Lonchura striata: one gene and its partners. The protein of the gene in region 1 purifies or fractionates together with the protein of each later gene. This does not show direct contact. Links are inferred from orthologs where the notes say so. Each region holds a gene or a part of one and is shown in the gene's direction. Other genes may lie near its edges.

Region 1 (7,841 bases):
GAATGTATAGTTTTCTTTTTGACGTATTATTGATGTACTGCACAATGAGCAGTCAGAGGAGGTTGTAAAAATGAATTTCTGATCTCTTAATTGCTTCTAGAGAACAGCAAGGAAAAGAACATAAATCCAATTGTAAATCAAACACAAATATCTTCTATTTTACCACTGAAACCATATGTACATGCTAGGAAATGGCTATTGAATTTCTTAGTGCAAAGTCAGATCATTTAATGCAGGATGCTTTTGTTTGTTTTAAACCTAATTGCTCTAAAAATAGCCACTGATGCATCATTAAAACACAAAAATATATTTGGCCCCATTATTGTGCAAGGACTGAAAGAATAAATAGGAACATCTCATGATCTTTCTACTAAGAACTTGGTGACATATTTGTTTTTGAATAAGAAAAAGAACTATTAAAAATACTGTCAACAAACTAGCTATTTCCAAGTAATTATATACACCACACCTTCTTAATTATATGGCAACTTAAATACTTAAGCTATCAGATAATCTCAGAAAGATACTGTGAGACCTTAGTAGGAGTTTGCATAATTTTTAAGTCATGTGTTGTGAAAATGCTGTTTCTAACCTTACAGAGCCTTATCTGGCTGTACAACATGAAATCAAATGAGTGACTGGTAGGTCAGTTCCATATCAACATTATACTGTAATGCAGGGTATTTTGTTTTCCCATATATCATAAAAATATAAATTACTATAAATTACCTGAGTGGTGCATGTTATTTTCCAGAGCTTTTGAAAACTCTTTAATTGCATTCAAAAATTTCCATCAGAAAATATATAGCACAGACAACCATCAAGTTTTATTTTTGATTCTGCAAATGATCATTCTTTTCTTGTTTCCTAGTAGAAATTTATCATAATATAAATATTTCAGGACTTTTTATCTTTTCCCTATTTCTCCAATATTCATGGTTAAGATCTTCATCTGGGCTAACTAGAGCTGTGACTGTTTATCATCCAAGTATCAATCCCAGAGTTTTTTTGATCTAACACAGAAATGTTTCTGTATTATCTGGTTTTCTGTATCGTCCTCACAACATACTACAACTTTACATTTTATTACTATTACTAGTAATTGTAAGTTGCCTTAACTCATGCAAGCATTTAAATATATGCTTGAGTATGGTCCGTAAACGGCAAGGATGGCCCTGGCTGCAAGTGACAGCTCCACCAGCAGTGTGCGTGTGACAGATCCACACTCCTGGCTATGGGCGCAGGTTTAGAGGTGGACACCTTCCATGCTGTCACAGTTTTAGAGGTAGACCCCTTCCATGCTGTCCTGGCCACGAGCAGGCTTCATCCAGCCCGGCCCAGAGCAGAGCCAGCTCTCTGGGAGGCTGTGCAGCTCGGCCCACGGGGCTGTTGCAGAAGCTGCTGCTCACCCCTGGAAAAAGCTGTGCCTTGTTCCATTCTGGGCCAGCAAACTGCTCCAGCAGCCCTGCATGAGCTGTGTCCAGCCAAGTAGACAAGCTGCTGAAGGCACCTCAGGATAACTGGGTTACTCTTTTTAGTCTTTTTGCCAAAAATGTAAAGTGCAATCTTCTGCTGGCTGGCATGTTTTGATCTTGGATAAGATAATTTCTTCTCCGTGTCTTTAGTTCTGCCAGGCCCTGGGGTGTACATATAAATGGTTTTGTTCAGCTGTAGTTAGAAGAAGTTGAGGAGTTCAGTATGAACTGATGACATCATAGCCTGAAAGCCATTCTGAAATTTGCATTAGTGATTTAGACTTATTCAATTTAATCTTTTGGTTTTCTGTACCTAAAAAGTGTGAGAAGGAGAACGTTTTGGTTTGTTCCAAGGAATCAGTAATCTAATTTCAAGACAACTGTCTCTGCAAGATACGAAGATAATGGCAGAAAAAACTTCCATGAAAGGGCATAGATAGAAGGTTGGTTTTGTTTTAATAGTGAATAATTCTGGGCACTTAAGTATTTTCTACATCACCTTTCTTTAAAAAAGACGCTAATAACCAGTCAATAATGGACAAACTAATTTTTATCAAGAGTTTATTAAAGGGTGACTGGCCCACAAATTACTAGATTCTTGTCAGCTGGTGGTCCATATTGAAATAAGTGTTAGGAAATCTTAGCCAATAAAGATCCTAGAAATTCTGCCTTTATATTACAGAAAGGTCCACAGATTTGTACCCAGTTTGAACATTTACAGATCATTTGGCCACTGTGACTTCTCACTGGGACAAAATCAAGACTGACTATATTTGCATTTTAATTTGTGAACTGAAAACTTTATCCATGATTTTTGTTTTTGAAATGATCTTTTGTATATCTTTCAGTTGGTGAGCAGAGAGTGACTCTACATTTTCTCTACCAAGAACTACCCTTCTGTCACCTTTGACACAAGAGTTCAAACCAATTATTACGTAAATGGGTAAATACGTAACTAGTTGGTAAGGTTTTTTATTGGTATAGTCTCTCATCAGCTTATTCACAATGCTCCTGTGTCTCATTTCTTAAAGCAATCCAGCCAAATTTTATTAGCTTCCTCTCATACAATCTATACTGTTTTCTTGAGTGTCCCACTAAGATTAGAGTTAATCTTCCTTGGATACATATTTTAAAAAAGCTGCAAGACTACATTAGGAATAATATTTGCAATAGCACTGAGACCTCTCTCTCTTAAAATTATTTAAACAAAATTATTATAGAGATATATTTGCTTTTTCATGTCTACAAAATGTTGTTGACTGATGGTCATTTACTTAATTACATTGGTAATTGAACTTCGCATCCAGCTGCCTTTTACCTGATAAATACCCAAAACTTTTGGTCATTAACATTCAAGTGCACATTCTTTGTATTTGATGTTTTTTTCACTTTGCTTCTATTAGTCCTCAGGGTCATTTACTTCTTCCCATATATTGTCTTGATTGGTTTTTTCCCAGCTGATTTTTAGTAAAGTATTCCAACTTTGGATCTAGTGCTTAATGGAAAAATATTAAAATTGCTTACACAGTCAAGCCACTGGTGACCCCCATGGAATGATAGGACCTTCCTCCCACTGTCTGTTGCTGTCTTCACATTCTCCCCAGTTTCACTGGTTATTTCATCTGTGGCTCGGTGTCTGTGTTTACTTTTTTAAAGTCATATATATGACTTTAAAAAAAGAAAACTACCCAACACCACGAGAAATATGTAGAGAAAGGTAGACAATTAATGTTGGAAAACCTGTGTTATTGTCTTTATTGCAAACTGAAATTAATTGTTGCTCTGCTCATGGAACCACATGAAATAACCTGTGATCCTTTTTGCATTTTGTACACTTTTGGATATATATTGAAGTAGAGTCTAATTTCCATGTTGTTTTATCCACTTTTGCTTTAAGGAAATTCTGTTCAGAAACTCATGCAATTATTTAATGAAATAACATGCATTTTTCCCCAGTGACCACTTCTTTTGTAATGATGCATGCAGGTTGTTTAGCTCCTCCAAAACACGTAGGATCTGCTGTGTATTGATGACTCTCTGGTGCAGTGCCTTCTGAGTAAAATCTCTAACTATTTGTAGACCAGACTGTACCTGTCTGCTCCAAAGCCTCGGGTTTGTGTAGCTGCTGGTCACGGACAGTATAGGACCCCTGTCTATGCAGTGTTTCAATCTGGAGCTGGAATGTGTACCCTGACATTGATGAAAGGTCATCTCTGGCAGAGGTATCCTGGCCTCTGGCAGTTGCAAAGTCAGCAGACGCTGAGGCTTGCTGCTGTCTGAGAGCCTTCCCAAAGCCTCGTGTTTGCTGTGCTGTCCGTGTCACACACGGCCGCTGTCGGGACAGGTCCTCACCGTTTGTGTGCACATAGGAATGCAGCGGGGAAAGGCTCACCTCATCCCGACTCTGTGCAGTAAAGACAAATAAACTCCTATTTCTAACGAGCTGGGATGGAGAGTTGGGATTTGCCGGCGTGTCTTCGCAGCCGCAACTGTCACTGGCTGCAGGACGGGCAGCCGCGAGGTACTGCGGTGCCAAGGGAGACAGCGCTGGGAAGAAAAGGAATGGTTCTGGACAGGTGCTAGAAGGGACATCGCAGAGGGGCAGGCTGGAGCGGCCGCAGGGGCTGCCCCGCTGCTCGAGCCGGCTCCCAGAGCCCCCGGCGCTGGACAGCGTGCTCCCGCTCCCGGGCGCTCGCTGCACCGCCAGGTTCTTCCTCAGGCCGGCTGGGACGTTCTGGGCGTGTTTCTGCCATTGCCTCGTGTCCCATTCCTCGGCACCGCCGAGCAGAGCCCGCCCTGTGCTCTGACACCACCGCTTTACAGATTTACACACAACCGCCTAAAGGCAGCAGCAGCGACGGCAGCCCGGGCCGTGCCGCCGGTCCGGGAGCCCATCCCGACGTGCCCGCTGCCCTCAGGAGCCCATCCCGACGTTCCCGCTGCCCTCCCGAGCCCATCCCGACGTGCTCGGTGCCCTCAGGAGCCCATCCCGACGTGCTCGGTGCCCTCCCGAGCCCATCCCGACGTGCCCGCTGCCCTCAGGAGCCCATCCCGACGTGTCCGCTGCCCTCCCGAGCCCGCCCTGCCCCGCGCGGTCCGGACCCGCGCTGTGGCGGCGCCGCCGGCCGGCAGGGGGCGCGGCGGGAGGCGGGGCGCGCGGCGGCGCGGCTGCGCTTTGCGGGCGGCTGTAAAGCAGCGCCGAGTGTCGCGCGGCGCTGGGCAGGGAGCGGCGGGGGCTGCGCCACAACAGAGCGGGGCCCGCCCGGCGCCGCGGCCGCACCGGGACCGGAGCGCGGCAGCGGCCGCACCGCCACAGCCGGCACGCTGCGGCCTCTCCCGGCGCGCCGGGCAGCGCCGCGGGGTCACTGCGGCGCCCACCGGGGCCGCTTCTACCGCTCGGCCCTGCGCAGGGCGCCGGCGGCACCCGCCCCTTCCCCCGCGGCCTCGCTGTCTCAGGTACGGGGGGCGGCGGGGACCCGCGGGTGGGGCCGCGGCCGGCGGGGCGGCCCCGCTTCCCCGCCCGGCACTGACGGCAGCGGCGAGCGGCGGGGCTGTGCGGCGGGGGGGAACTTCACGCAGAATGTGTTTTTCCTTTTTTATTCAGCGCCTCGTTGACGCACAAAGCAGTGCCTTCACTGCGGGCAGCCGCAGCACTCTCTGGGGTTCTGTCACAAATTTGTCACAAATTTTCCCCTTAGGGAAATGAGTTTCTATTTCTGTGCGTAATAGGGTCTGTTATGACGTCATTTGTTTTGTTTGCGAAGTTAGTGTTCTCTTAACCCATGTTTAAAAAAAAAAAAATCACAATTTTCAGGTGGTTTTTTTTGCCTGATGAACAAGGAAGTAACGTTCATTCAGAAATGTAGGCCGGGATCTTCAGAGGTACGTAGGCTTGTCACTGTTGCAATGGGCAGGTGTTAAGGGTATGTACTTTTCAAAGTGTCTGTGTTTCTCTGGTTAGGGCTGAGCATGCATTCATGGAATTTTCATGTTGTTAGACTAAGCTCTTCCATGGCTTGAAATTATTTCATTAAATCATAAGCAAGGCCTGGTTGCTTTAGCTGATTAAATGAGACCCTTAATTCCTGATACCCAAGTACTTCTCCAGAAGAGGATGTAATGCAGGAGGTAAGAGTTTGCTGTAATTAGAATAATTTGATTCTAATGCAATGATTTCAGAAACAAAGGTTTGAACAAAAATATAAGAATTGACTGTTAATTGTTGTAGACCTGGGTTTGTCATGGTATCTGTATTATAAACTATTAAAGGAAAGCTGTGTTTTCAGGTGCAGTATAAGGTCTTACCTTGTCTTTGTTGTAACTTGCAGAAAATTCCAAAGGTATATAAGTGCTGCATACTTAGTAGAAAGCTTTTTCAGGAAGACTAATATTTAAATAGTTACAATGCTTTGCCAGTTTTAAAACCAGAAATTACATCTTGTTGGTCACATATCCATAGTTCTTGCTGTCAGAACTATTTAAGCAATTTAAGTGTTTTTGCACTTAATTTTTTTGGATAAAGGAACTGTCTTGGGGCAGGGAGGGAACAGAAGCAAACCCTGTTAGGATGATGCTTGCTGATGTGCAAGGATTGATAGGGAAAGAAGTGATCTTGGTTTATTTGATAGAGCAAACATCTGGTCACCTGTCCTGTGTACTCATCCACAGTATAGAATCACCTCTGGAATTCATAAGGTAGGAAAGGCTGTAGGAACATTTTATGGTTCACTTTAATTAAATAATAGTGCACAAGGCACCAAGCTTCCTATTTTAAAGTCTTGAAGTCTCACATATGTAAAAATCTGTTTTTTATTGATGGTTGAAGCCCTGGCAGCTACAGATGAGATTGTCTGGTATTGGAAGCTTGAGGATGAGCAACAGCTCACAGCATTCATGCATATTTTGAATGTGCTTTCAAAACATGGATGAGAGCATTCTGACCTTTCAGGAATATAGCCTTTATGAAGCAATGGCTTTTGTAAAAATGTATTAAAAATGTATCTTAACACAACTGTGACTCACAGTTTATATTTGAATTAGTGACATTGTTGACCTACATAACCAGATCAGTTATAGCAGTTGATTTTCACTGGAGTTACTGTGTTGCAGTAACATTTAGATGACAGCAGTTGCTGCCTTTTTTTCCCAAGGTGTCCAATCTTTCATTTCAGTTTTTTGTATTTCTTCTAATGGTGAGGACAGTCTTTTCAAAAAAGATAGAGGTGATAGTTCCCTCCTCCATAGCTGATGTATTATAGAGGCTTGCATGTCAAGCAGTTGAATAAATAGGGAAAAATTGAGGGGGGAGTGTGATGATGGGATGGGGAACATGATGATTTAATTCACAGGTAAACAATGGGGATTGTACAGAGAGCTAGATTTGCCATAGGCACATGTTGTATAAAGGGTTCCTCATGGCTTTCCTGATGTGCAATCTCCTTTAAGTGAGTTGTCAGCAGAAGTTTGGCTTGGTAAAAGAAACATTTTCTTTTCTGCCTTTCCCTCTGCCCCATTAGGGTTCTCTGCTAGGCCTGACCTGAGCCCACAAAAAAACCCCCACCAATCTGTACTTAACGTTGAAAAAAGTTCACTAGTTAAGACTTCAGTTGTAGATACATTTTGTTTCTTACAAGAGCACTGTAAACTTTGAAAGTGGCTACACTGACAAAACTCAGGAGACTTCAACTTTGAGCAGCTATCCTATCCTTACCTTGTACATGTATCCAATACGATATTACTCAATATGCATGTTAATAAATCTCTTTTCAACCTTACTGACATACAAAGAGCCAAACCACTACAGATCTAGTGACAAAATAGTATTATTTTGTTGTTTTATATAGTTTATGCTATTTGGAAAAGGAATTGCTCTAAATTAAAATTATATCTTCCTTACTAAGTGTTCACCAAGTGAAATCTGAGAAGGCTGGTTCATGGCTTTACTAGCAAGAGGCCAGTAAGGGCAATCTCTTTTTTTTTTTTTTTTTTTTTCCCCAATATAGTTTAATCCTAATATTTGACTGCTGTTAAGTAAAATGTTTACTTTTGTCTCTGCTGGGTGCAGAGTGGAGAAGTCTGCTGCAGTGTCCTTTCCCCTGAAACTGGTAGATCAGTTTAGTATCTATAAAATCTCCTTCTTCCCATAGGTTTCCTGAAAAACAGCATAAAACTGCCCTAATGGTTAATTTCACAATTCTCACTTGAAAGGTTCTTACTAGCAGCTGTGGCAAAGATCATGTTTAACTTTGTTCCTCAAAGCTTTATTGAGAAGTGTTTGCAAAATGCACTACATCAAGAAGAATTACACATACCTCAAAGGTCAAAAATGGGACTAAGAAACAATTTTTTAAATAATTTTTGATTGCT
Region 2 (6,997 bases), on another chromosome or scaffold:
CATAAATATTCAGAAGGGACATTAGGTGTAAACAGTCCAGTGCAGTAGCTTTTGTTTTTTGGAGAACGTGTCTGCATCAGAAGCATGATGTATTTATGTGGAGTAACCTCTTTTTTGTACACGAGTTGGATTCCTATGGGTGCTCTGCTAGTTAATATTGTCACTACTATTTTCCTGTTTCATGTGGAATATCGTCTTGAACGTTGTTGTGTAATCATTTCCTTTATTTGTGCACACTTTTTACGTTAAATAAAACATTTATATTCAACCTCAGAGAAATCTCAGAGAAATACTGTGAAATGCTGGTCTTGGGATCATCGTCTAACCCTTTTAAACTGTCCATATCCCATGGGAATCTTGTTCTGATCTTTTCATTTCTTGTAGAAAATTGCACTGGGATGGGCCACAGCAACCCAAGAAATGCCTTTCTTACCCTGCATTTACCAAACATGTCTGAGAATGCAGGTTCTGCTCCAGCATCATTCCCTAGCCTCATGCTCATCTAGTCCTTTGGAAAAACACCATCCTTGTAGGTTCTTTCCTTCCAACACCAGTGATGAGACAAAGCAGTGAGGCATCCATCCTCTGCACAGAGATAGAAATCTTAAAGGAAAATACAAAATGTTACTTTAGCCTGCTCATCCAAGGACTCTTTCAGCGCTGGAGTTCGTACATCATCTCAGCTGCCAGAGCTGGGATTTGGAGTTCAGAGCAACGCTCTTGTCTGCTGCACTTACTTCTGCATGATTTATTTCTTTGTTTCTTCAACTCCTCCCCTGCATTCTGGGATTTCTGACACAGAGGGTGATGGCACAGATGCAGTGGTTTAATTTCTGTATTTCAGTATCTTTTAAAAGAGATTTTGTCTTGCCTCAGCACGGGTGTGCTTCGGCAATCCTGGCGAGTGCTGCAGATGGCTGCATATCTTCCATGCTTAACCTCCCCCCACGCACGCTCCCTGTTTCTGTTCTGTTGGGTGCCCAGCTGCTCTCGCCTCAGTCTGAGCAATTGTTTATGCTGAGGCACTCTATGGAGGAAGCTGATAGCTTGGATAATCTATACATACACTTGGTAAGTGCTAAGCAAGCGTCCTCACTTCAGCATGGATGGTGTAAGGCATTGAAGCAGCAGAGGTATCTGCAACTGACCACAGAATTATGTTTTCCTGGGAAGAGAGAAGGTAGGGGTTGGAGCCCCTTTGAGAAAAAACAGATTTTACCATATCTTGCATTTTTTCGCAGAGAGATCCCCCATGTGTTTATTTTAATTTTTTTTTTCTGCTTATAATAAAGGGATCTGGACTGAATACTTGAAAGGTGGATTCTTACCATTTAATCACCAATAACTGAAAGCAGAGCAGTGTCTACATCCCAGGTCTGTGCAGCTTTTGTGGGAGGTGGCTTTTCCAGGCATAAATAGCAGGAATCTCTTGTGTCCATGTTTCATTTCTAAGGATGAGTAAAGTGTCTGGGCTTATACTCTTAGATCAGAGGAATAGTTCAAGTCCTTCATGAGCTGAAGTGTTTTGTGCACTGTCCCCACTGTGACTTGTCCAGCAGGATGTGGTGTCTGCCAAAATCTATCAACTTTTTCTGCTTAAAACACAACCTGTAATACAATATCTGTTTTGCAAGAATGAAACCTCCTATGACAGATTAGCTAAGTGTGAACTGTTACAACTTACTATTAAACATGACTACTAATTTTTTTTCTTTAAAAAGTACGATATCATCTCATCAGAGACGAAAATGCATGGTCTTTGTTCACAGTTAAATTGTGCTCTCCAGGGCATAGTTCATAGTTAAATTGTGTATCTTCAGGGACTGTGCATCAGGGAAGTTTGTGAGCTTCCCCAGAGCCTCAGCATTTCTTTAAAATTCAGACACTTTATTAATCAAATCAAGATTCCTCCTGTGCTATTAGTGCACTTTATTACCACTTGCAAAAGTCTGTAACTCAGGTTTTAGTTATGCAGTGTCTTCAGAACTGCTTTTCACAGTCCACAGTAGAAATAGGCAGAGCTAACACCTTTTTTTAGACAATCCTCTACCTACAAACTTTGTCTTCCATCGCCTGATTATTGTAGCTCTATAGCAACACTATCATTACAGCACAATAGTTACCAGGCTTTGTAACCTGAAATGGAACATTTCTGCGGCAGAACTTGAAAAAAATCAACAAATTACACAATGCCACTGGATCCTAAGCTTCCATGACATCAGCACGTCTAATAAAAGATGAAATATCTGCCTACATATGCTGCCTTCCTCACAGACATTGATCAATCCAGCTGCAATGTTAGACATTACATTTTCTTCAGTAAATTTGAAAGGGATTGTGACATAGTGCATTTCACTGATTGGTATTCAAAGAGGCTTTTTTTAAAACAATCAGGTCATAAAGTCCAAGAGGGTGAAGCAGACAGGAATGTCTAGAATGTCTATACAATTCCCTCATAGGTTCATACCTTTTCAGAATCAGCTCCAAAAGCTGGTGCATTCAGAAATCTTGTTTATTTCTGCCACATTGTTGTGGCTTTTAAACAGACCTTATATCTGCTTAATAAATAAGTAGTGGGTGTTAGTATTCTTTGCAAAAACGTTTACTTTTCTATAAAACCCTGATGGTTTGGCTTGGAAAAGGCCTTAAAGATCACTCAGATCCAACGAAATTGTAGATATTGTTGCAGACACCGCAACCGATGCGGTGGTTTGAGAAAGAGGTGACTGCTGAAGCAGCTTTGAAGTGATGCTCAAGGGCCTCTCCATCAGCGACCCCGCCCAGCCCAGAGGAAACCTGAGCATATCAAAGGTGCGAAATCAAGGATTAAAGAGCACCAAACGCCTCTGTCAGCAGATCAGCGGGGCAGGTTCTGTGCCATAATCCTCCTGGGACGGCATTAGGGAACGGCGCGGAAGGGATCAGGGATCCCGCCGGCCGGTGCGAAGCGGTGCCTGGTGCTTGTACAGCTGCCCCATTTTCATGTGCCGTGCTTTTGTACTCGCATCAAAATATGTAACTGTGTGGGATGAAAGGAAACGGCAAATTGGATCGCGCCGTAATCCCAGCTGAAGCGCTGTCTTCACAAAGATGTAAACTGAAAAGCTTTGGGCCTCTTGCAGGCGGAAGAAACTTGTAATACATGAACGAGCTGTACAGCGACTAAGCTGTCCCTGAAGAGCATCTTCCCCGCCTCTCCGCGGTTCGATCGCTTCGTTTCCCAAAATATCTCCCGCGAGCCTGTGGCTGGAGGGAGCGGTCCGTGCCACGGCTTCGGGGCCCCTCACACGGGCCCGCCTTCCCCGCGCCTGCCCGCCCGAGCACAGCCCGCCCTCCTGGGGACCCTCGCTGGGGACAGCACTGTGAGACCCCTGCCAGGGACGCTCCGTGGGGGACAGTCACTCGAGGGCTTTCACTGAGGGACCATCTTTTTGAGGGGCAGTCAGTGAGGGATCCTCTGCGGGCGCCTCGCTGCGGGGCAGTCACTAAGGGGCGGTCACGGAGATCCCCCCGCTGGCGGCCTCTGCCCGGGGCCGCCGCCGCGCCTCAGGCGGGCGACACGCCCGACGGGTCCCCGACAGCGCCCGGCTTTTCCCCTGCTGCCATGGCCGCTTCCCTTCCCCGCCCCAGCTGCAGCTGCCGCTCCGTCCCGTCCCTCAGCCGGCCCCTCTCGGCCGCCGACGGCGGAACGGCGGCAGGGCGGCGCGGGGCAGGCTCTGACCGGGCGGGCTGCGGGGAAGCCGGGCAGAAACAACACTTTTCCATGCGTATTCACTTTTTAGTGTCTATTACACAAAGATCTGTTTTATTTTTATTTCTCCTCCTGCGCCTTCCCCGCGGGCGGCAGCGGGGGGAAGGCCCGGCCGGGTTTCCCGGCGCTGAGGCGGCGGCGGGCGGGGGAGGGGCGGGCGGGCGCTCCCGCCGCTGCCCCAGACAGTGGGCGGGGCCGGCGCGCGCCGCCGGCGGGTTCGTGCCCGCGCGCCGCCGCCGCCGCCGCCGTCTCGGTCTCCGCAGTGAGGTCACGGGTGGGCGGCGCGAGCGCGGCGCCTGTTCCGCTCCCCGCGGCCGCCGGAGCCCCCGCGGCGCCGGGTGAGCAGCCGGGGAGCTCGCTGGGAACGGCGGGGAGCGCGGCGGCGGAGCCCTGGGGGGAAGGGCGGGAGCGTCCGCCGGGGGATGGGAGGGAGCGGCGGCGCGGGGGCGGCGGGGAGAAGGGGAGCGGGGTACCGGCGTTGGGAGGAGGGGAGGGACACGGGGGCGGCGGAGCGGCGCGGTACGGCCGGGGACGGCGGGGAGCCGGGCAGGGCGGAGGGGCGAGCCCGGCGGCGGGAGGGGGAAGGGCTGAGCCCGGAGCGGTGCCGGCGGGGCCGGGGTGAGTCACGGCGCGGGAGGGAGCGGCGGCGTGCGGCGTCCCGGGAGGGGCCGCGGGGCGAGGGGTCGGTGCCCGGGATGTGGGGGCCGGTGCCCGGCTCGCCGGAGCGCCCGTTCCTTTCGGGCGTGCACGCCGGCAGAGCCGCTCCGGACCGCCCCCTCCCCCGCCGGTATCGCTCATCGGTCGGGGGCTTGTCCCGGTGTTCCGCAAGTTACTGGGAAATGCACCCTGCCTCTGGCAGGCAATCCCGGTGGTTTGGGCTGCAGGGGGCCTTAAAGCTCATCTCCTTCCAGCCCCCCCACCCCGCCATGGGCAGGGACACTTCCACTATCCCAGGCTGCTCCAAGCCCTGTCCAACCTGGCCTTGGACACTTCCAGGGATGGGGCAGCTGCAGCTTCTCTGTGCAGCCTGTGCCACTACCTCACTGCTATCACCGAGAACAATTTCTTCCTTGTATCAAATCAAAACCTTCCCTCTCTCAGTATAAAGCCATTCCCTCTCGTCCGCTGACTCCTGTCACACTTTCACCTGTGTCAAAAGTCCCTCTCCAGTCCTTTTTACCCCTTTAGGTACAGAGCAAACTCTGGGATTGCTTGTGATCAGCCATCTCTCTTTCACAGGTTATCAGGAAGGACGAGCAGAACTCTGTGCTAGCACACGACATGCATCCAGCCCATGGCCTGGATCTCACCTCTATTACTAATAACTTGGGCTGGGAAAATTCTGACACACGCCAGTGACATCTGGGCGAAAGGTGACTCTCTAGGGACGTTTAGTTTTTGCCGTCGGTCTGGATCAGCCTTTAATTTTAGGATTTATTTGTGAACTGCCATAATAGCTGTCACGGTGGTGGTGGTGAAATCATAAAGCTGGCAGCACAATAAAGCAAGCCCTTAAGATTGTGTTTGATCTCTGGGAGCTAAAAGTGCTGAATAAAATTTTCATACAACGTAAACTACGTTTTGGATCAGTTTCGTTGAGATTGACATTCTTCTAACTGAGCCCATTTTTCTATTTTATTATTTAAATAGAGACTTATTTGAAAAGACAGTATATTTTTTAAAGGAAAAAAAAACGATTGAGGATGAACACCCATCAACGCATCGTTTTTTACTAAATTGCTGAACAAGACTACTGTGTAAAGTAGTGGCTAGGGTATGAAGAAAACCTTTTGTATACATATTGCATTGGGGTTTTTATATTATGAAATTTAACAAATAGCTAAGAAAATAGTGTAACCCCCTTCGTTAGTAGTTTTACAGAATTACATACAAAATGGGTTACAATTTTTACTGTTGAATGCTGAAGAAGATGTTTTAGGGAAAGGAGCGTGCAGCTCCAAGATCACATGAAACTATTTTTTATATAAAAAGTAAGAAAATGCACATTCAAGACTGGCTTAATTAAAGCTCAGTGTTCAGCAATGGAAAGCCCACAGATAAACTTCCCTCTAGGTCTGGTTTCAGACCAAAAAAGAAGCAGGATCCAAGAGGATGGGAGTCCTCCACTGAAAAAAGCAATGACTGAAATGCATGTAAATAACAAAGTACAGGTAGTAATAAATAAATTGCCAACAATAAAGAAGGAAAACCTGGATGACTATGATGAAGCTCCGGTGGAGGCTGATGCGGAAACCGCCAAGCCAAACAGTGCTTCACTATCTGAGCCTTTGAGTTTAAATCCAGGTTTGAAACACACGTTGGCACAGTTCCACCTAAGCAGCCAGAGTTCACTGGGTGGACCTGCGGCTTTCTCAGCTCGGTATTCCCAGGAAAGTATGTCACCCACTGTCTTCCTGCCTCTCCCATCACCACAAGTCCTCTCTGGTCCGCTGCTCATCCCTCCAGACAGCTCCACGGAGCTCACGCAGACCCTGCTGGAGGGGGAATCCATCTCTTGTTTTAAAGTCGGAGGAGAAAAAAGACTTTGCCTGCCTCAAGTATTGAATTCGGTTCTCCGAGACTTTTCCTTGCAGCAGATCAACACGGTGTGTGATGAGCTCTATATCTACTGCTCAAGGTGCACTTCAGACCAGCTGCACATTCTGAAGGTTTTGGGAATTCTTCCGTTCAATGCTCCGTCCTGTGGGCTCATTACGCTGACGGACGCTCAGAGACTATGCAATGCTTTACTGCGCCCTCGCACTTTCCCCCAAAGTGGCGGTTTCCTCCCTGGTAAGAACACCTTGGCCCAGCTGAAAGAGACTGGCAGTGCCTTCGAAGTAGAGCATGAATGCCTGGGCAAGTGCCAGGGGTTGTTTGCACCTCAGTTCTACCTTGCCCCGGATGACCCGTGTATCCAGTGCTTGGAATGCTACGGGATGTTCTCACCCCAGACCTTCGTGATGCATTCACACAGATCCCCAGACAAGAGGACCTGCCACTGGGGGTTTGAGTCGGCCAAGTGGCACTGCTACCTGCACATTAACCAAAAATACCTGGGCACATCAGAAGAGAGAGAGCTGAAGCATCTCTTGGAGGAAATGAAGGAGAAATTCAGCGAGAAAAATCAGAAAAGAACTCGGTCCAAAGTAAGTTCACCTGGTGTAAAATTCCCAGATCTCTTTCTGCTCGCACATAAATACTTGTTTTAGAAGCGCATTACTTGGCTTTTCTAAGTGGGAATAC
Region 3 (6,844 bases), on another chromosome or scaffold:
CCAAGCCTGGGAGAGCTGGGGATGCTCACCTGGAGAAGGGAAGGCTCCAGGGAGACCTCACTGAGGGCTTATAAAAAGACAGAGAGCAACTTTTTACACAGAAGACAGTGAAAGGGCAAGTGGAAATGGTTTTAAACTACAAAATGGAAAGACTTAAGAAAGATTTTAGGAAGAAATTCTTGCCTTCAGGGTGAGATCCTGGCACAGGTTGCCCAGAGAAGCTGTGACTACCCCTGGATCCCTGGGAGTATCCAAGGCCAGGCTGGACAGGGCTTGGAGGAACCTGGGATAGTGGAAAGTGTCCCTACCCATGACAGGGGAGTGGAATGAGATGAACTTCCAGCCTTCCAGTCTTCCAGCCTTCCAACCGAAACCACTCTAGAATTCTGTGATTAATTAATAAGACATAACAATATCCAGCTTTGGTGTCAGTGATGGAGTTTTGCTATTTGTTTTACTAAATCAAGTATTATTTCATGGAATTATAAAATAGTTTGGGTTTGGATTTGGATGAGACTTTTAAAGGTCGTCCAGTCTAACTCCCCTGCCAAAGACAGGGATATCTTCAATGAGATCAGGTGTCTGAAACCCCTGTCAAACCTGACCTTGAGTGTTCCCAGGGATGCAGCATCCACCAGCTCTCTGGCCAATCTGTGCCAGTGTTTCATCACCCTCATCAAAAAAAACCCAATCTTTCTAATTCCCAATCTAAATCAATGCTCTTCCTGGAGGTGTAGGCATACAGCTAGGAGCTCTTTCTAGAGCATACGCACATCCTGCCTGCCTGCCTTCTCCACAGCCACCCTGCTTCTGAAGCAACTTCTGGGCTCTGGGATTTAAAGCCGTGATGCTGCCTTCTTCCATTGGCTGTCTTCCTGCTGCTGCTTGCAATTTTATTTCCTAGAGAAAGGTTTATGCAAATGTTGGATTTTTGTGTGTGTGTGTATGTCAGAATCCCCCAGCATAAGCTGGCCAACCTTTTGACTGATTTCAACCACACCTGAAAGAGAAGTAGAGCTTCTGGAAACACAAAGCCTGTCAAGCTTCATGGCAAACAGCAGCTATATTAGAGAAGACACATGTTGTTAAGTGCTCTGCTGGGGAGAAAGGCAGGGAGAGCTCAGCCCTTATCAGCACTGCTTGGCTTCCTTGGCAGTAGATAAGGGGCAGGCAGCTGGCCAGCCAGAGCACACACATCCCTGAACCAGGTACAGCATGTGCTGCTCCAGAAAGAAGGCAAACACCAATAAGTTGTGTAGTAGGGAGGCTTGGATGTATCAGGAATCAACCTTGGAGATAGGAGGAGAGAGAGCTATGAATCTGTTGCAGAGGAGAGGTGAAGGGAATGTCTGACGCAAATCCATATGAAAATTGAGCTTAATTAAATTACTCTTCATAAAAAAAAAAAATCTCTCTGAATGCAGCAAAACCTCCACAAAGCAAGTGCAATGCTAGCTGAATAGTCTGTATATGTTTCCAGGCACAACATTACTGGGACACCTTATCTTCCAAAAACATGATGGCAAGCTCTCAGATGCTCTGCTTTCTCTGCAGAGGGGATCTTCTCCACTTCACTGTTGATTTCATGACCAGCTTGAATCTCAAACGTTTGGGGCTGGCTGAAAATGCTACCAAAAAAATAAGCCACGTTTGCTTCAAGCTGGGAGAATCCAGGCACAGAAGAGGCAAGAGGGGGATTTCTGTGAATCCACATTCTGTAGAAGGGCTAAATATTCTGAGGTGATTCACCTTGCTCCTGGGAATACCAGCCTTGTGGAGATGGGACCTGTGCCCTAGACACAGAATCATAACACCTACACCACTGAGTGCAGAAACCTTTTCAGTCTAGAAGATGAGCATGACTCTGGAGAGACAAAGTTAGGGAGATGTGACCTCAGGTGTAAAGGAAGTGGCTTGAAGTGAAGATAGATGATATATACTAAAGTATCAAAAAGACAAAAGCAAAAAAAACAGAGTACCTCCAACAGACTTATAGCAAATCTGGAACAGACCTTCTCATCCCCAAAAAACCCCATTAAAATCCCACCTTGTGGCTTCCCACTCATAAAATCATACAATGTTAAGGGGTTGGAAGTAACCTTAGTGTTCTTCTAGTCGTGACCCCCACTGCCATGTGTAGGAACACCTTCCACTAGACAGGTTGCCCCAAGCCCCGTCCAACCTGGCTTTGAGCACTTCCAGGGTTGGAGAATCCATTACCTCCTTGGACAACATGTCCCAGTGTCCCTCCACCCTCATAGCAAAGAATTTCTTTCTAAGATCTAGCCTAAAGATCCCCTCTTTTAATTTCTACCCATTCCCCCTTGTCCTGTCATTGCAGTTCCTGACAGAGAGTTCTTCTCTGTCTTCCTGGTGGGCCCTTTAGGATACTGGAAGGTTCTGTGAGGTCTCCACAAACTTGTCTTTCCCAGGATGAACAGCTCCAGGGAATCTGCTGGGCATCACTGCAAGGCACAACAGAGCCCCATGGGTTTCACAGACAGGTCCCCAAACATGCACTGCCAGGTAACAGGCTCTGATTTCCTTATGGTGACCCTGGGCCCCTGCTGGGGCACAGGAATTTGGTTACTTTTCACCATTACCTCAACACAAGTGGTCCAAGCATTGCAAAGACTCTTGAAGGCAGTAGCTAAAAAAACCCCCCTAACATATGGGGGGGGTTAAGAGTTTGTGAGCTTGGGGGGCAGGCAGCAGAGGGAGGCTGGGCAGGCTTTGGGGCTGCCTTGTGTCCGTGTCACACCTGGGGACAGCCACCCTGGAGCTCTTGTGCCATTGCGGGGCTGTGGGCAGTTGGAATCTATTTAGAACCACAAAATCGTTTAGGCTGGAGAAGCCCACCAAGACCTGAGTCCAGCTGTGACACCAGCACTGCCATGGCCACTGCTGATCCCTGTCCCCAAGTGCCACATCCAATGGCTTTTAAATCCCTGCAGGGATGGGGACTCCATCATTGCCTTGGGCAGGTGTGCCAGGGCAGCACAGCCCTTTCCATGAAGGAATTTTCCCAATATCCAACCTCAACTTCACCTGAGCCATTCCCTCTCCTCCTGTCCCTGTTCCTGGAGCAGAGCTGTCCCCATGGCTGTCCCCTCCTGTCAGGAGCTGTGCAGAGCCACAAGGTCCCCCTGAGCCTCCTTTTCTCCAGGCTCAGCCCCTTCCCAGCTCCCTCAGCCGCTCCTGGGGCTCAGTCCCTTCCCAGCTCCGTTCCCTGCCCTGGACACGCTGCAGCCCCTCAGTGTCTCTCTTGTCCTGAGGGGCCAGAGCTGTCCCCAGCACTGGAGGTGTCTCAGCAGTGCCAGCACAGGGACGGGCACTGCCCTGGGGCTGTGTCACACCCTGGCTGGGACAGCCCAGGGGTCACTGCCCACCGCTGCAGAGCCCAGCCGGAGCTCAGCGGCAATTCCCGCCGGGAATCCACGCACTCTTTCTCAGCTCCCGTCGCGCCCGCCGCGGAAGGATACGGAGCGGGGACAGAGCCGCACTGCGGCTGCGCTGCTGCGGCTCAGCCAAACCTCCGCTCAGCCTCCCGCGGCGGGCGCGCGCGCCGTGACTGACAGCCGACCCAACCAATCAGCGCTGCGGCCACGGCCCGCCTCCCTCCGCCTCACGCCTGTTTCTCCCACTCCCCTTCCCTTGTCTTATTTTTTTTTTAACGTTGCGGGCACTCCATTGGCGATCCTGACTGCCAGTTAGATCTCTGGACCAATCACAGTGCGGCTGCTTAGAGAGAAGGTAAATGCGGCCAATGGGCGGCCTCCCCGCCCAGCGGCGGGGGCGGGGCGTTGCGGGGGGCGGGCCCTCAGAGGAGGTAACGCTGAGGGAAGAGGCGGCGGCCGCACCGCACTCGGGGAGACGGAGGAGGATAAGGAAGGGGAGAGGAGGAAGAAGGAGGGCAAGGAGCGGTGGCTCTCGGCGGATCCTGGTGGCTCCCGGTGCGTGCTGGTGGATGCCGGGCCCGGGGTCCTTGCCCCCTGGGCAGGGTCGCCCCGCTGGCGCTGCGCGGGCCGTGAGGAACCGTCCGGGCCTGGTCCCGGCGGGGCCGGGGGCGCCTCCCTACGCCCTCGCCCTTTTTGTTGTGGTGGGACCCGGGCTAGGTTATCCTGCTCCCGCCGGCATTGCCCCCGAGCTGTGCTGGGAGGGCCGCGCTGTGTGTGTGTGTCTGTGTGTGTGTGTGGGTGAGGGGAGGGAGGAATAAAGAAGTTGTGCTCCTTCTCTCCCCCGCTGCCTCCCGTCGTGCCCGGTGTGTTTTCCTTGCAGGGGTCCGCCGAATATGCCGAGCTGGAAGGCATCCCGCGAGGATCATCGCGTCCAGCTCGTAGCGCTGCACAGGACACCCCTGTGTGCCTCCTGGACATGCAGGCAGGGTTAGGTGTGCGGCACTCCCTGGAGTTTTGGAGAAGAAAGTTGGGAGCGGTGTGGGGCGAGGAGTTGTGTTTTGGAGCTAGGAGTTTGTGTTTGGGACTGCGAGGCTTCACCTCACCCTTTTGTCTGTCCCCTCTCCTCGTCTGCAGAGCCGCGGGTGTAAGAGACACACAGCAGCCCACGTGAGACAGGACTTGAGATCACTGGTTTTATTCCTGCCTTTAAAGCTGTGTGTTGTCAGAGGGCAGAGGCAGGTGGGGTTCTGGGGAGAAATTCCTGAGAGGGCAGCGAGGTGCTGACACAGGTTCCCAGAGGAGCTGTGGCAACTCCATCCCTGGGTGTTGTTTGTAAACACACACAACCTGGTAATGTCTCATCTCTCGATAAGTGCACTGAGGAAGCTGTGTCGTGATAAGGGCAAGTGGTTGGTGTTGTTGCTGCAGAGTTGTGGAGTTCCTGTTTGTAGGGGTTTTTTCTTTTTTTTTTTTTTTTTCGTTTTGTGCAGAGTGGAGGGGAAGAGAAGTGCAATACAGCATGGTCTTCTAGTGTTCACTCTGGGGAAATAAAAGAACGGAAAAAAGCGTGTGAATGAATGAAGAGCTCTTGTGATGATTGTGGAGAGCTGTTGAGCAGCTGGGATTCAGGCTGCAGGCTGGTCTTGTGTCTCTCTGGTTGTCCGTCACAGTTTCTGACTGAGAGAAACCCAACACGTGTATTATGCTCTTTGCAAATGCTTGCGAGCGGGATAGCATTAGGAAAGAGTTTATTTACAGGGTTTGCCAAAATGAGTGTCTCCAAAAACCTTTGTGTATTGTGTGTGGAGCTCATGCTCTCACAGTCCAGGGGTATAAACGGGTTAGATTCCATCAGCAGCGAGAGGTTTATAATAGCAGCTTGTTAGGAGACCGCAGGTAGCAGCAGGTTTGTCTTTTCTCAAGTGTTGTGTCTTAGCCTGGAGAGCTGTACTTTCAAACTGATTCATGACATTACTTCTGTGGGGCCTGGCCTCTGCAGCGAGGCACTGATTAGCTGTTGCTCTGTTCTCCAGGCTGGAAAAGAAACACCCTCTGCTTGAGGTGAGAGGCCAGCAGAGCGAGGTTGCTTGTTTAGATTTTCTCATGCTTTGTCGAGGTGTTGGTGCGTGAGTGGGTTGTTTGTGTGCTCGTTCTGAGGCACAGCTTTCAAACTTCTAACGTTTACAAGCTCTGGCGAATTCGGGGGGGATGAGAGTGTGAGTAAAGGAGGTGTTTGTGAAGTCCCTTCCCCCCTTTGCTTAGCACTGTCATGATGAAAGATAACATTAGTTACAAATGCTTTTAAGAAGTGGAAGGGGAGGGTCTTGTTTAAGGTGGTTTCCACTTTAAGATGAGTCTGAGCATCTGTTGAACAGCATATTGGGGTGTTGAAAAGAGTAGCCTGGCAGCTGATTGTTGTTCTGCAGTTGTATGGGTCAGATACACAGTCAACAAAAGGAGTATGTTTGAAGATCCAGTTTTCTTTACTGAAGAGGCTGGATATGCATGATAGAGCCTTGGAGAAGAATTCATCAGCTATCCTGAGGTTCTGTTTAACAGTGAAAGGAAGAAAACAACTCAGACAATTGAAAAAATGAGGTTAAAGAATTGGTCTCTGTGCTGTTTTCTTGTTTCCTTCCACCCAGCAGCTAGATTCACCAAAATCAAATACCCTGGAATTACACAGTGAATCTCCAAATGAAAGGTTCTCCCTGGGTCCTCCTCCCTCTTCCCGTTCCACTTGATCTTTCAGAAGTCTTGAGCACCAGTTGATACAATTGAGTTTATTTGAGCTCAAAAAACCCTGCCTGCTACTGAGGGCAACTTTAAAAAACAAACCTTGTTTCCATCTCTCTAATCCCTTTCCCACAAAAGTACTGGGAGAACAGGCTTTGTGGTATGTTCTGGGTGACAATGAATCTGAGCTCTCTTGAGGCTGAAGCAAATTCCTAAGTTTTGTTTGTATAAAGAACAGTACGCAAAGTTTTAATTATTATAAAAAGTATTCCACAGTTTTCAAATGTATTCAGTGCTGCCTTAATGGTTGTGCATGTAAATGTCCTGTAATTGAAAGCATCCATTTATGGGCCTGACTTGCTAAGTGAGCTGTAAATTCTGCTTTTCAGATTGGATTTAATGACTTTTATCATAAAGCCATAAACTGGTTGTGAACTGTGCCGAGAGGCAAACAATACCTAAGCTTACTTTGCCAAAATATTTGTAATTGTTGATTTGTTAAAATGAATTGCTGCAGGTCATGCGATGGGATTAGGTTTTTGTAATAGAATGGAGAGTACAGGCAGCCTGTGCTCAATACTCTCTGGGCTAGAAGAAATTGGCTACTGCAGAAAACCTTCCTAAACATTCCTCTCCATTTCCAGTGACAGAAACTCCGTTGCAAACTGTAAGCCTTCATTCCAGATCACATTTTACTCTGATTATGTGTT
Region 4 (7,669 bases), on another chromosome or scaffold:
GAGGAAGTTTTGCTGTCTTGTTACTGCAGAAGTTGGAGCTTGGTTTCTGTCCCGTCATGGCTTTTGGTTTGGAAGCTGCCACTCCAATTGCTCACTGTCTGAGTATTGCAGATACAGAAACTGAGGCACAGAGAGACTGAGCAACTTGCCCAAGGCAACAGGAAATCTGTGGGAGATCTGGGAATAGACCCCAGATGTCCGGAGTTTTCTGTCTTAACCACAAGACCATCCTTCCTGTCTCTTTGGTAGTCCCCTCTGCTTCAGGAATTCCATTTCCAAATTCCACCCATAAACAATCTTTTGCACGATCCAGTGACTTACTTGCATTAAAAAGTCGTTTGGAAGAGAAAACGGCACCTCTCTTAAAATGAACTGCAGCTACTGCTTTCTGTCCTTTCTTTCTAGGGGATGAAGGAGAGGGAGTGAAAAAAAAAGAAAAGCAACCCAGCTTCCAGAGCTGAGAAGCATTTCCATTGCTATCCAAACTTCCTGCAGGCATTAGTTTGGTTCTTTAAAAGAATCAGGAACTCCAGATGTGATGTTTGAGTTTATCTGGCCATTTGTATTTTAGTGGATTATAAAAAGGCCTGAAATTGCACTAAATGCATCTTGGGAGTGATCCTGCTGCTGGTCCCCATTGTATCCGAGTGTCTCTGGTGACAGTCTGGTCAACTGCCACAGCCCTGGGGGAATTCACTGTGTGTCTGGTGCTTCTCCCCTGTCACACAGTCAGAGCTTCTCTAAGAGGAGACTGAATGCTGGGAGGGGTTTTCATTTCTACCAAAGCACACCCTTCAGTTTGGAAATGGTGGAATGGGTGGATGTCCCTCATATTATCGAAAGAAGACTATAATTTAAAAATTATTCTTAATTAAAACCTTTTAGATTATCCTGTTACCCAGTGGGGAATATTTCTAGCCCTGCTTTCTCTTAATGTGGTAACTTGTTTAGCATCAGGAATCAACAAGGGCTGTATGGCCTAGATTGTTAAATCCCATCTTTAGACCTTGGTATTGTGGTAATATCTAAAAATCCCACTCATGGATCACCAAATCCTCATGTGATGGATTCTATAAACAGAAACTTCAAGGGTCCTTCTTGCTTCCAGTGGCTTCCTATTAAAACAATTTGGTGGAGATTCTCCAAGGGTCTTCTCTGAGCACATGAAGACACAGCTGCTGGCCTGGATCAACGTGTTTGGTTCCTGCCTCTTCTGAAGCCATTTAGCACTTTGAGGCTTGATGTCCAAGTTGGGTACGTGAGAGTGGGTTCCTCTCTGAGGAAATGCTGACTTAGGGGCAAGGTCAAAGCTCTTACACAACTCTTACACACCTTTCCCCTTTATTCTGAACAAGATTTCAGAATAGAAAAGTAGAAATAAAACACAAGAGCTTGGCGTGTGTCCTGCCCCATTACAATGAGTCTGAGTAAATCACAGCGGGTTTGTTTTCCAATTGCTCTTTTAAGCACTGTTTGGATATTTGTCTGTTTGCTCCTCCTCTTTTGTCCTGATGTGTTTTTTCTGCTGTTCCACTGCCATGAACTCTTCCAGAGGAGACTGTCCAAAATTCAATGTCTGTGTCTCTCAGTCACACTCTATGGATGAGCAGGGCTTAAAGTCTTTGTTGAATTTCAAACACGATTAACAGTTGTGCTGGTGTGTGAAAGTGCTCCTTAGCCCTTTTTGGCACACAGTTGACAGAGCTCTGAGATAACAGTGGAAACCTTTTCAGCTTGTTCCTTAATCGTGATGCTAAGATTGAAATGTTTGTTTGACTTCTGGGTGTGCAGTCCATAGAAAATGGGAGAATACACAGGATTTTTGCTTTGAAATTTGTTATTAATAAAAAGCAAAAGCATCTCACTCCTGACCTGAATAATAAATCCATAATGGAGTTTGCAGTGCTGCTGGGCAGTGGGTGCCCATGCCTAGTCATTTGGTGTCTGTGCTGTGGTCAGTTGGTGTCCATGCCCTGGGCATTGGATGTCCGTGCCATGGGCACTTGGTGTCCATGCCCTGGGTGTCTGTGCCATGGTTACTGTGTGCCCATGCTGTGGACAGTGAAGATCCATGCAATGGGGAGTGGGGATCTGTGCCATGGTCAGTGGTGTCCTTGCTATGGTCCGTGGTGAGTGATGTCCATGCCATGGTCAATGACTGTGCAATGGGCAGTGTATGTCCGTGCTATGGCCAGTGTGTGACCATGCTAGGGGCAGTGGATATGTCAGTGCCCCAAGCAGTAGGTGTCCATGCCATGGTCAATGACTGTGCCATGGTCAGTGACTGTCCGTGCCCTGGTCAGTGGTCAGTGACTGTCCATGCCCTGGTCAGTGACTGTCTGTGCCATGTGCTGTGTGTGTCCATGCCCTGGTCAGTGATTGTCTGTGCCATGTGCTTTGTATGTCCATGTCCTGGTCAGTGGTCTGTGACTGTCCTTGCCCTGCTCAGTGGTCAGTGACTGTCCATACCCTGCTCAGTGGTCAGTGGTGTCCGTGCCCTGATCAGTGGTCAGTGACTGTCCGTGCCCTGCTCAGTGGTCAGTGACTGTCCGTGCCCTGCTCAGTGGTCAGTGACTGTCCATACCCTGCTCAGTGGTCAGTGACTGTCCGTGCCCTGCTCAGTGGTCAGTGGTGCCCGTGCCCTGCTCAGTGGTCAGTGACTGTCCATACCCTGCTCAGTGGTCAGTGACTGTCCGTGCCCTGCTCAGTGGTCAGTGGTGCCCGTGCCCTGCTCAGTGGTCAGTGACTGTCCACACCCTGCTCAGTGGTCAGTTGGTGCCCGTGCCCTGCTCAGTGGTCAGTGGTGTCCGTGCCCTGCTCAGTGGTCAGTGGTGCCTGTGCTCTGCTCAGTGGTCAGTGGTGTCCGTGCCCTGCTCAGTGGTCAGTGACTGTCCGTGCCCTGCTCAGTGGTCAGTGGTGTCCGTGCCCTGCTCAGTGGTCAGTGGTGCCTGTGCTCTGCTCAGTGGTCAGTGACTGTCCATGCCCTGCTCAGTGGTCAGTGGTGCCCGTGCCCTGCTCAGTGGTCAGTGACTGTCCGTGCCCTGCTCAGTGGTCAGTGACTGTCCGTGCCCTGTCAGTGGTCAGTTGGTGCCCGTGCCCTGTCAGTGGTCAGTGACTGTCCATGCCCTGCTCAGTGGTCAGTGACTGTCCATACCCTGCTCAGTGGTCAGTGACTGTCCATACCCTGCTCAGTGGTCAGTGACTGTCCGTGCCCTGCTCAGTGGTCAGTGGTGTCCGTGCCCTGCTCAGTGGTCAGTGACTGTCCGTGCCCTGCTCAGTGGTCAGTGGTGTCCGTGCCCTGCTCAGTGGTCAGTGGTGCCTGTGCTCTGCTCAGTGGTCAGTGGTGCCCGTGCCCTGCTCAGTGGTCAGTGACTGTCCGTGCCCTGCTCAGTGGTCAGTGACTGTCCGTGCCCTGTCAGTGGTCAGTTGGTGCCCGTGCCCTGTCAGTGGTCAGTGACTGTCCGTGCCCTGCTCAGTGGTCAGTGGTGTCCGTGCCCTGCTCAGTGGTCAGTGGTGTCCGTGCCCTGCTCAGTGGTCAGTGGTGTCCGTGCCGCGGCCGCGGTTGCGCGGGGCGGTCGCGGTGATCTCTCATCGGTCGGTAGAGGGCGCCCGTCCCCGCTGTGCGGGGGGCGCTCGGTGCCCCGGACACTCCGGACACGCCGGACACACCGGACACACCGGACAGCCCCGGACACACCGGACAGCCCCGGACACACCGGACAGCCCCGGCCCCGCGGGTGGGAGCCCAGGAGCCGACCCGCCTGTGTGCCACCAGCGTGGTCTTAGTGCTGCCTCCGCCTTCCTGCTCCAGCGGGGGCTCGGACAGCCCCAGCCCCTTCCCACCCGCGCTGCGGTTGCGCCTCTCACGCCTCTTCCACGCGTTGAGCGTCGCCTGTGGGTGGAAGGAGCGTGTGACGTGTGCCGGGAGCGGGGAACACATGTGTGTCGGAGCAAGGGAGCATACGTGTGCCGGGACAGGGACGCACACGTGTGTCTCTCGCCTGTAGCGCTCAGTGGGTTGGGGGCTCCGGTGGCGCCCCGAGGATGCGCTCTGGTCCCGCGCGGTTGTCGCCCATCAGTTGCGCTCTCACGCCTGAGATTGCTGTCGGCGCGGGGCGTGTGCCCGCAGTTGACGCCGGGCAGGGCGCCGTGAGTGCCCGTGTGAGCCCGACCAGAGCCGCTCCCGCGCCTGTTCCGTTTCACGGCTGCCAGAAACGCAGCGGCGAGAGGGGAAAAGCCCTCGCCCTACCGCCCCTCCTCGGCGGCGCGGCGGTCCGTGAACCCAGCAGTTTATCCTCCGCCCGCTCCCTCCCTCCCTCGCCGGCGCTGCCGCCGGGGCCGCGCGCCCGCCCGCCCGTGCAGCGGCTCGGCCCGGTTCGGCCGAGCTCGGCACGGCTCGGCTCGGCTCGGCGCGGCACATCCCAGCTCGGCTCGGCTCGGCTCAGCACGGCACATCCCAGCTCGGTTCGGCTCGGCCGGGCTTCGATCAGCTCGGTTGTGCTCGGCGCGGCCGGGCTCGCTTGGAGTGGCTCGGCTTGGCCCGGCTCGGCTCGGCTCGGCTGATCCCGGCACATCCCGGCCGGTCTGGGCGCAGCGCGAAGCGGGAGGCGGGCGCTGTTCCTGGAAGAGCCCGGCCCGGGGAGTTGGTCACATTCTTGGCCGGGATTCAATGACTGAGGCAGACACCAACAAACACAGGGGGGAGGCGGAGGGCGGGCGGCTGAGCCCGCCTGCATTAGCTCAGCTCTCAGGCACTCTCAGTCACTGCTGGAAAGAGGAGCTGGGAGGATGTGCGCGCTCTCACCGCGGCTCCCCACGGCACAACGAGAGCACCGGCAGAAATAAGGGCAGGAAGGCGAACCGAGAGCCGAGGAGCCCTCCCAGGCCGAGCGGACGGACCACGAGGGGCAGCGGAGCCGCTCCTCGCCCGTGCGGAGCCGCCGCGCCGCTTCGGCAGTGCCGGAGATCTGGGCCTTTTCTCCTGCCTTGTTCCTTCCACAGACCGAGCGTGCTGCCTCCTCCTGCTTTTTACTTTCCTCCCCCGCGCCTTCCCTCGGTGGATATGGACAGAAGGGGGATCACTGCAGAGAAGCAGCAGCCGCCAGAACATATTTGAGCCCGGGTGCTCGGAGCGTGGCACAGACTTTTTGTGTTTCTGTGGGTGGTGTGTGTGTGTGTGTGTGTGTGAGTGAGTGTGTGTTGGAGGTGTGGGAGGAGGGATTGGTTTGCCTGGGGGTTGGCTGAGGGGGTGAGTGCTCGGATGAAGACCTCTTTTTGCCGTGATTCTGTGCTCCATCGGGGCAGCTTGGAGACTTGGAGGGTTTGAAATTGTAACGTGAAGCAAGAGAAGAGAAAGAAGAGAGAGACACGCATACAAAAGGATTTATTTCCTCTCCGTTAGTGGATTGCTGAGTGAGAAGGAGGAAAAACACAAGGGTGGGTTGTTTTATTTTGTTAATATTTTTTCCTAAAAAAAAAAAAAAATCCCTTAAGTGGATTTGCATCAGGGTGGAAGATAACTGGGGATTTTTGCTATTTGTTTTGGGAATAGAAACTAAAAAATGGAGACTGTAAGTAGAAGCAGCTTCCAGCCTCATCCAGGACTGCAGAAGACCTTGGAACAGTTTCATCTGAGCTCTATGAGCTCCCTGGGTGGCCCTGCTGCTTTCTCAGCACGATGGGCACAGGAGATGTACAAGAAAGACAATGGCAAAGACCCAGCGGAACCTGTACTGCATCTGCCCCCGATCCAGCCTCCTCCGGTCATGCCTGGTCCCTTCTTCATGCCCTCGGACAGATCCACGGAGAGGTGCGAGACCATCCTGGAAGGGGAAACCATCTCCTGCTTCGTGGTGGGCGGAGAGAAGCGGCTTTGCTTGCCCCAGATCCTGAACTCGGTGCTCAGGGACTTCTCCCTGCAGCAGATTAATTCGGTGTGTGATGAGCTACATATTTACTGCTCCAGATGCACTGCTGACCAGCTGGAAATCCTCAAAGTCATGGGCATCCTGCCCTTCTCCGCTCCTTCCTGCGGGCTCATCACGAAAACTGATGCTGAGAGGCTTTGTAACGCCTTGCTTTATGGTGGCACCTATCCTCCCCACTGCAAGAAGGAATTCTCTAGCACAATTGAGCTGGAGCTCACGGAGAAGAGCTTCAAGGTGTATCATGAGTGCTTTGGGAAGTGCAAGGGACTCCTGGTGCCAGAGCTTTACAGTAACCCCAGCGCAGCCTGCATCCAGTGCTTGGACTGCAGGCTCATGTACCCACCTCACAAATTTGTGGTCCATTCTCACAAATCGCTGGAAAACAGGACTTGCCACTGGGGCTTTGACTCTGCAAACTGGAGATCCTATATCCTCCTCAGCCAGGATTATACTGGGAAAGAGGAGAAAGCTAGACTGGGCCAGCTCTTAGATGAAATGAAAGAAAAATTTGACTATAACAACAAATACAAGAGGAAAGCCCCTCGGGTAAGTGGTGCCTGTGATTTTAAAGGGGGCGGGGGGAATTTCTGTAACATTCATCGATATACCCAAATTGTTACCAGCTGCTTTTCCTTGGAGTCATTTAGCAATTTTAATCGTGTTCTCCATTCTCTCCGCGTGTGTGTCACTGTGGAGGAGCAGTGCTCGAGATGGCACCTTTATTTCTCTGGTTGTTTTCTGACCACGGTGCTTGGAGTTTGTTTAAATTATGTGTGTGTGGTTGTATGTTTTACTATGTGTGGACCTTGATCTTTGAAGCCCATCACACTGCCCCAGACTTTATCTGGCATTGCGTGATTTCGGGTCTTTAAGGGCTTCTTCACTCAGGGGTCAAGGCAAGGAAGAAGCCAGAAAAAGGGAGCAGGTACTGATGCTCCAGACACAAGTCCATGCACTTTTCTGGTCGATTGAGTGTCGCCAGGGATGGAGGTGCGGGCTGAATGCTCTAAATGCTCGAATGGAAATAAAATGTGCCTGTTAAGAAAAAAAAATAAATTGTGCCGGTAGTGCAGGTTAGTGGTTTATAGATGAAGTGTTCAGAACGTGAATGGAGAAGTCCCTGCTTTTAGAGTATCCCTATGGAGCTTAGATTTGCCCAGCAGACAGGCTTTTGTATATTGGATTATGTATACATCCAGCAAATGCCTGTGTCTAGGGCCAGCTGCAGCAGCTCCTGAAGGTGTTCCATGCCGTGCTGTGCTGAGCCAGCCAGCCAAATCGCTTTTTTTTTTAGATGCCACTTGTTTTTATTTCAGTCTGAGCTGCCTTTAGATCCCAGAATCCCTGGTGTGTGGGTGGGAGGCTGCCTTGGCATCTGGCACCGGTCCTGCTCCATGGGCAGCAGTGCCACAAGGCCCTGGGGACTCGCAGACACCGGGATGTCTGGCTGGCTGGGGATGAGCAATTCTGCTTCCTGCTCCTTCCCCCCGGTGCGAGGGGAAAACAAACTCCTGCCTCCCCAGTTCTCCCCTGCAGGTTTGTTGGTTGGGCTCTGCCTCACTGTCAGAGATTTCCAAACTTTGGGGTTTTGTGTCTGGAGTGGAAGGGCAATACACAAGCCTGGAAAAGAAAAAGTGTTTAAAACCCACTATGAAAATTCTGAATTAATTTACCAAATACTTGTTTAAAGGGGCAGACACACACTCTGACTAAGATAGAGCTTTTATTTATAAAAAAGTGCA

Evidence for each region.
Region 2: the proteins of RNF111 (region 1) and SKIL purify together in Homo sapiens (affinity purification with western blotting; 3 studies listed by BioGRID). This does not show direct contact. The link is inferred for Lonchura striata from reciprocal best matches to the Homo sapiens genes RNF111 and SKIL.
Region 3: the proteins of RNF111 (region 1) and SMAD2 purify together in Homo sapiens (affinity purification with western blotting, with the first as the bait; 3 studies listed by BioGRID). This does not show direct contact. The link is inferred for Lonchura striata from reciprocal best matches to the Homo sapiens genes RNF111 and SMAD2.
Region 4: the proteins of RNF111 (region 1) and SKI purify together in Homo sapiens (affinity purification with western blotting, with the first as the bait; 3 studies listed by BioGRID). This does not show direct contact. The link is inferred for Lonchura striata from reciprocal best matches to the Homo sapiens genes RNF111 and SKI.

What each region holds. Positions count from the first base shown.
Region 1 is NC_134613.1:10,560,188-10,568,028, reverse strand, and holds the start of RNF111 (E3 ubiquitin-protein ligase Arkadia), read left to right. Parts: upstream 1-4,823; 5' UTR 4,824-4,931; intron 4,932-5,043; exon of another isoform or gene 5,044-5,357; intron 5,358-7,841. UniProt on the Homo sapiens protein: E3 ubiquitin-protein ligase. Required for mesoderm patterning during embryonic development. Acts as an enhancer of the transcriptional responses of the SMAD2/SMAD3 effectors, which are activated downstream of BMP.
Region 2 is NC_134612.1:23,035,768-23,042,764, reverse strand, and holds the start of SKIL (ski-like protein), read left to right. Parts: upstream 1-3,979; 5' UTR 3,980-4,089; intron 4,090-4,990; 5' UTR 4,991-5,793; coding exon 5,794-6,900; intron 6,901-6,997. UniProt on the Homo sapiens protein: May have regulatory role in cell division or differentiation in response to extracellular signals.
Region 3 is NC_134642.1:2,223,393-2,230,236, forward strand, and holds the start of SMAD2 (mothers against decapentaplegic homolog 2), read left to right. Parts: upstream 1-3,825; 5' UTR 3,826-3,953; intron 3,954-6,844. UniProt on the Homo sapiens protein: Receptor-regulated SMAD (R-SMAD) that is an intracellular signal transducer and transcriptional modulator activated by TGF-beta (transforming growth factor) and activin type 1 receptor kinases.
Region 4 is NC_134626.1:2,810,017-2,817,685, forward strand, and holds the start of SKI (ski oncogene), read left to right. Parts: upstream 1-4,653; 5' UTR 4,654-5,436; exon of another isoform or gene 5,437-5,551; 5' UTR 5,552-5,561; coding exon 5,562-6,473; intron 6,474-7,669. UniProt on the Homo sapiens protein: May play a role in terminal differentiation of skeletal muscle cells but not in the determination of cells to the myogenic lineage. Functions as a repressor of TGF-beta signaling.